2 linked regions of the Sus scrofa genome follow. The protein of the gene in region 1 interacts with the protein of each later gene in a pairwise test. Links are inferred from orthologs where the notes say so. Each region holds a gene or a part of one and is shown on either strand. Other genes may lie near its edges. The genes, in order: PTPN6 and leukocyte-associated immunoglobulin-like receptor 1.

Region 1 (3,815 bases):
AATTATTACTGCCAGTCGTATCACCATCCGTGATCTTCACAACCATCCTCCAGGTTGAAGGGAAGAGACAGCTGGCCCCGCTCACACTCCTTGTACGTCTGACTGTGAAGGCTGCCCTCACTGAGCGGTCCCTGCCTCCCTCCCCCTCCCGCCCAGGCACCCAGAGTTAGAGACCCACACACACAGTGATCCTAACAGCTTTTATTTACAGGAGTAGAAGGGCCTGGCCCAGCCTGGGGCCATGCTGGGCTATATACAGGGTCTGGGAGAGGGAGGTAGGGATGGGGCCATTTAAATTACAATGGAATGGGGGGCAGGCTCCAAGGTGCAGGCTGCAGGTGGTCCACTGGGATGGGGCTGAGGCTGCAGAGAGAGGGGAGGAAGGGATCAGGGGGTGGCTATTCCTGGACGGGTCCCGGGGCGGGGCGGGGTGGGGAGGGGGAGATACAGGTCTGAGATGGTTGGGAAGGCAGGGTGAGGACGCAGCCACCGCATCTGTCCAGGGCAGAGCATGGAGCTGGGGGCCCCTGCGGGCAGGTGGGGAGGAGCCGTACCGTGGCCGCCCCTGGACATGCCCGGCTCACTTCCTCTTCAGGGAGCCCTTGCTCTTCTCCTTGTCTGCTGACCGCTGCTTCTTCACCTTCTCCTCCTTCTTGTTCTTACTGTGCACGTTCTCATACACGTCCTCCTTGTGCCTGCGAGAGGGGCGGGGCGGGCAAGTGCGGACAGTCAGGGAGGGGACAGGGCAGCCTCATCCAGCACCAGCAGCCCCTTAGGACCGCCCACCTCACAGGTGAGCAAACTGAGGCCAGAAAAGCGAGGACACCACTCCTTACACCGTCCTTACACTCCACCAGAAACTCCCGGGAGCAGAGGCTCCATCTCATATCAGTGTACCTGGCACAGGCCCCACGTGGAGGGCACCCAGGAAACACAGGTTAAACCAAGCTCAAGAACGAAGGTCAAGAACCAAGCTTGGGAGTTCCCGTCGTGGCTCAGTGGTTAACGAATCCGACTAGGAACCATGAGGTTGCGGGTTCGATCCCTGGCCTCACTCAGTGGGTTAAGGATCCGGCATTGCCGTGAGCTGTGGTGTAGGTTGCAGATGCGGCTCGGATCCCACATTGCTGTGGCTGTGGTGTAGGTCGGTGGCTACAGCTCCGATTAGACCCCTAGCCTGGGAACCTCCATATGCCACGGGAGCGGCCTCAGAAAAGGCAAAAGGACAAAAAAAAAAAAAAAAAAAAAAAAAAAGACTAAATAAATAAATAAATAAAATAAGCTTGAGGAGTTCCCGTCATGGCGCAGCAGAACCATGAGCTTGCGGGTTCGATCCCTAGCCTTGCTCAGTGGATTAAGGATCCTGCATTGCGGTGAGCTGTGGTGTAGGTCGCAGACTCGGGACTGTCGTGGCTGTGGCTGTTGCTCTGATTAGCCCCCTAGTCTGAGTGCGGCCTTAAAAAGCAAAAAAAAAAGAAAGAAAGAAAGAAAAAAGCAAAAAAAAAGAACCGAGCTTGAACCACTCTCTACACCCATGTAACCACCTTTTTCATCGTTCCGGGAAGATTACTCATGCTGCTTTCCAGTCCATATCACCAGCCCCTGCCAGCCAACCACTGCCCTGATTTCTGTCATCAAAGATGTTTTGCCTGTTCTTATATGTCATATAAATGGAACCAAACAATTAAAAAAAAAAACACCTTGACCTTGAACCGGAACCTCTCAGGAAAGGAAGGATCAGGGGTCAGGCTGGGGAAGAGAAAGAGGCCCATGTGGGGAGGCCGTGGGCAGGAGCCACTCACTTGGAGGAGGTGCGGGAGGCCTTGGCATGAGCGTTCTTCATGGCGAGGGGGTAGGTGATGTTCCCATATTCCGACTCCCGGCCCTTCTGCGACTGTGGGAAGATGGGTGGTAGAAGCGCGGTGGTCCCAGGAGCACCAGAGAAAGCCCACTGCCAGCCCCCCCAACCCCCAACGGCCCGGCCAAGCCTTGTGCTGCCCGCACCTGTATGACCTCCAGCTTCTTCTTGGTGGTTTCAATGAACTGGGCGATGGCCACGTAGATGAACTTGTACTGCGCCTCTGTCTGCACCATGCCCGAGCGCTGGGCCCGCACCATCTGGATGGTCTTCTGGATGTCGATGTCACAGTCCAGGCCTGGCAGGGATGGTGGCTGGAGGTCAGGCCCAGGCCCAGGTGGACCTGGGGGCCCATTCGCCCACCTGCCCCCTCGTCCCCCACCGGTCACTCTCACCCTTGGTGGAAATGCTCTCCATAAGCATGTCGATGACAATGATGGTACCAGTGCGACCGATGCCAGCGCTGGGGAGAGAAGGGGCACCGTTAGAGGCCGGCACTGGCTGGGAAGGGGGAGCCCCGTGTTCAGCGCCAGCATGGGTGGGGCTTAGGGGACCGAGGCTGCAGGGGATGGCTGTGGATGCAAGGTGCCGGAAATGAGAGGGTCTCCAGGTGGGCAGACAAGCAGGGCAGAAGTTGGCTCAACTCTGCACCTGGGGTCTTCTCCAGCCAAGGGATGTGGGGGCAGGGCCAGGCTCTCAAGTCCTAAGATCCTTCTCCCCAGATGCCCATCACTTTCCTTCTTCCCAACACCTCACTCTGCTCCCCGCCCCAGGAGATCTAGGGCCTGGCCCACCTCTGCCCTACCTGCTCCCACAGCCTTGGCGCCCAGGTGAGGCGGCCCTTCTCTTTCTGCGAGGCTCTGCTTCCCTTTTATCTTTTTCTTCTTCTTCTTTTTTTTTTTAGGTCCACACCCGCAGCATATAGAAGTTTGCAGGCTGGGGGTCAAATCGGAGCTACAGCTGCCAGCCTAGACCACAGCCGCAGCAACTCGGGATCTGAGCCACATCTGAGATCTACACCACAGCTCACGACAACCCTGGATCCTTAACCCACTGAGCGCAGCCAGGGATCAAACCCACAACCTCATGGATACTAGTCAGGGTCGTAACCCACTGAGCCACGACGGGAACGCTTCTATTTCCCTTTTTCTTCAGACATTGAAGGCAGTGCAAGGGCAGCCCTGAGACAGCAAGGCACGGGGCCATGCAGCAGGAAGTCTCCCTCTGCCCACCCTCTGCCGCGACCCCTGGGCAAACACACCCCAGGAGGCTCAGGACCCCACCTAGATCACAGGCCCACCCGCTCGGCTAGGCCAGTGGGGCCAATGCCCTGAGTCTAGCTGTCTAATTTCAAACACAGATTGTCAAAAATAACTCCCCCTCACCCACTTCCTTCCTGTAAGATCTAAATAAAGACCATGGGGATTTCAAGTGGGGGGGGCACAGGCAGTGGGGACGTTCTTGGCGAGGGGCCTGACCCTGGAAGCAGAGCGGGGTCCCTGAGACCGCAGGTGAGGGGCACCTCCAGGCTTGGCCCGCCCTGCCCCGCCCCAGCCCAGCCCAGCCCGGCCCGGGATGCAGGGAGGAAGGGTGGCTGGTGGGAGGAAGGAGGAAGTCTCTGCCCTCACAGCCTGGGGTCACAAGGAGGGAGCTGGAAGGGAAGAGATGGAAGCAGATTCCCCTTTCCCGTTCCCTGCCTCATGTGAGTTATTAAAGCGTGAACAGCTCCCATTGTCCAGGGTTCACTGTATTCCAAACACAGCAAGAGGGCTCATTTCATCTTCACGACAACCCTGTCGGAATCCTGATTTTACCGATGAGGAACCACACGGTCAGAGAAGTGCCGTCATGTGTCCAATATCACACAGCCAGCGGGTGGAAGGGCTGGAGGCGTCCGTCCAGGACCCTGCGCACTGCCTTCCACGCACCCAGGCCGGGCCAGCGGAGTAGGCCCGTC
Region 2 (3,086 bases), on another chromosome or scaffold:
GATTGTGGTGAAGGCTGCACAACTTGGTGAGTTTCTTAAAAAAAAAAAGAAAAGAAAAGAAAATTTGAACAGAGCCAGTAAAAGGAGTGACTTGTGTTGTGTGTTGAATTCCTCATAACGGAGCCTGAGATTCTGCTCTCCCACCTCCTAGGGGCCCTGCCCAGACCCTCCATCAGAGCTGAGCCAGGCCCTGTGGTCCCCTGGGGACAGCCTGTGACCATCGTGTGCCAGGGCCCTGCTGGGGCTGAGACATTCCGCCTGCAGTACAAGGAGAATATGCATAAGTACAAGGATGAGAGTAACACGATTCAAATTGGTCCACACCAGACAGCGGCCAGGTTCCCCATCGCTGCTGTAAGTGAAGACACTGTCCGGCATTATCAGTGCCTCTATCATCAAAGTGGCATTTGGTCTGAGTCCAGTGAGACCTTGAAGCTGGTGTTGACAGGTGAGGACGTCTCTGCTCTGCCCTCAGGGTGGCCCCAGGCCGCTGTCCCCAGCTGTGTCCTCTGCCCACAGGCCCCCTGCTGGCCCCCCAAGCCCCATGGCCCCCCAAGCCCCGTGGTCTCCCTCACACACACACTCCTTCACCTTCACGCCTGTCTAAAGCCTTCTCCCGCCCCTGATCACAGGACCCCCTGGGGATTTCAGCTCCCCCCACACGGAGCCCTCCTCCTCAGCTGGTGAGTAGCTGACCTCAGCCTGTTGGGGTTTCTGGGAGGCTCTGTGCTGGGGATCAGGACCATTGCCCTGGGCTTGGATCAGGGACTGGTGAGGCCCTGGGAAGGGCATGGCTTGCCCAGGGCACTGCTGGGTCCCTGATATTCACAAGGACACTCTTAACACCCACAGGATAGAGATAACCCTATAACCGGGCACCTGGTGGCAGTAATGCCACCGAGCCCACCATGGAGGGACGTCCCAGGCTTTCTAAGAGCCACCACTCCTTTTAAGAGGCAGAAAGGAGGTTAAGTGTCTTGGGCAAAGGCACAAGGGGCAGACCCAACCCAGGGCATCCAGACCCCATCCTTGGGGTTTGGGCACAGCTTTGCGCTGCCCCCTAGTGGGCAGGTTCCACCGCTGGCCCCTCTGCACTGAGAGAAGGAAGGAGGGACTGATAGCGCATCTCCTAGGAGAGAGAAGAGGCTTCTTGAAGGTTCTGCCTGAACAGCCTAGAAGGAGGGAGAGCCCCCCTCTCAGAGCGTCCTGAACCCGCTGCTAGTGGTGGTGGGGGCGGGCAGCTCAGTCACCCCTCCACCTCCCTCCCCGTTTCATGCCTCCAAGACTCCAGTTCAGAGCAGAACTGCCAGCATCAGGGTTAGGATTCCGGTCCTGCCTTCCCAGCTCTGGGCCCTTGAGTGAATGACCACGCCTTCCGCATCCCGGCTTCTCGCGGGCAAAACCCGCAATAAATACACGAACCCCGCAGTTGAGACACAGGACCTGTGCTTACGTCGGGGCAGCCCAGTAGTACTGATCTTAGGACTATTTTCTTCTCACCTCCTGTGCACCAGACACCCTCCTGCTATGGGGTTGATGCACACGTGAATGAGGAGAAGGGGTCTCTGGCCTCCCAAGCATTAATGGAAGAATTAATTAAAATGAACAATAGAAATGCACTAAGGATATATGGGCATATAGAATATAAACATAACATTTTTCGGGAGTTCCCGTTGTGGCGCAGTGGTTAACGAATCCGACTAGGAACCATGAGGTTGTGGGTTCGGTCCCTGCCCTTGCTCAGTGGGTTAACAATCTGGCGTTGCCGTGAGCTGTGGTGTAGGTTGCAGACGCGGCTCGGATCCTGCGTTGCTGTGGCTCTGGCATAGGCCAGCGGCTACAGCTCCGATTAGACCCCTAGCCTGGGAACCTCCATATGCCGCAGAAGCGGCCCAAAGAAATAGCAAAAAGAAAAAAAAAAAAAATAAATAAATAACTAAAAAATAAACATAACATTTTCAACGTAAAATTTCAGACTTATAATTTAAATAGAATATACTTACACTATATAGCAAATATCGAAGTAATATATTAATACATATGAATAACGCATACAGTGTTATGTCTGTACATTATATTATCATGTAGTATGCATTACTGTAATATATGTGATAGTATATTTACCATAATTTATATGTATAGTTGATATAATTGATATGTAGAGCTTACACTTTATATTTTTAAATTGTGTATAACTAATCTGTGTAAATTAAATTATGCATATGTGGGTTAAAACAATTTAACTGTATATCCAGTATACATTATAGTTATATGATATGTAATATATATAGATGTAAATATATTGATATATATTATTTTTATTTGTAAAACATAAATACTATTTTAAACTGTGATAAACGTCACAAGGCAGTGAAGCAGGGCAGAGGTGTTAAAACACTGGGTGGGCCCGTGGATGGTGGGCCAGCGACACAGTGTTGAGGGCAGGATTCTCTAAGAAATGAAGTTTTCTGCCTTAAATAGGATATTGAGGACTCAGCCTCTGAAGCAGCAGGAGGGAGGGGAGGCGGGGCTCAGACCGAGTGGGTGGACGAGCCCCCAAGACCTCTGCTGGCTCACCTGTGAAATGGGTGGTGCTGCGCCCTTAGGAGGTGTATGGTAGAGGAGCAGGACCTACAGCACATGCGCGGAGTCCAGCCCCGGGCTGGCGGGCAACTGTCTCACCTGCTCACCTCGTGGCTTCGGCGGGCAGCTCCGGGACATCGGGTCTTGGCGTCTTCACTCCCAGGAGAGCAGATCCACCGCATCAAGGGGAGCTGTGAAAACGGAAGGCAGAGCTGAGGATGCCTGTGCCTGGGCCCTCCTACCGGGTGTCCGTCTCTGCGAGGGGGGAAGACGGGGGAGAGCGGCGCTGCCCCCACCACCTCCCGCGGGAAGGGGACGCTGCAGGTGCCCATCACCCAGTGAGGGTGGCATTAGCCTGGTGGCACCACCGAGCCGCCCCGCGACCCGCTGCTCCTGCCCCTGGCGATCTGACGTTTCAGTTTCTTTCACTTAAATTTCAAGGGCAGCAGTCACGTGTGGTTACCAGAGCGGACAGCCCAGAAGTAGAGTATGTCAACCACACG

Evidence for each region.
Region 2: the proteins of PTPN6 (region 1) and leukocyte-associated immunoglobulin-like receptor 1 interact in binary tests that used the Homo sapiens proteins (3 or more experiments, as listed by UniProt). The link is inferred for Sus scrofa from reciprocal best matches to the Homo sapiens genes PTPN6 and LAIR1.

What each region holds. Positions count from the first base shown.
Region 1 is NC_010447.5:63,761,924-63,765,738, forward strand, and holds the end of PTPN6 (tyrosine-protein phosphatase non-receptor type 6), read right to left. Parts: intron 2,322-3,815; coding exon 2,254-2,321; intron 2,157-2,253; coding exon 2,005-2,156; intron 1,895-2,004; coding exon 1,803-1,894; intron 696-1,802; coding exon 581-695; 3' UTR 555-580; intron 364-554; 3' UTR 186-363; downstream 1-185. UniProt on the Homo sapiens protein: Tyrosine phosphatase enzyme that plays important roles in controlling immune signaling pathways and fundamental physiological processes such as hematopoiesis.
Region 2 is NC_010448.4:58,943,863-58,946,948, forward strand, and holds part of leukocyte-associated immunoglobulin-like receptor 1, read left to right. Parts: intron 1-151; coding exon 152-448; intron 449-632; coding exon 633-683; intron 684-2,682; exon of another isoform or gene 2,683-3,086. UniProt on the Homo sapiens protein: Functions as an inhibitory receptor that plays a constitutive negative regulatory role on cytolytic function of natural killer (NK) cells, B-cells and T-cells.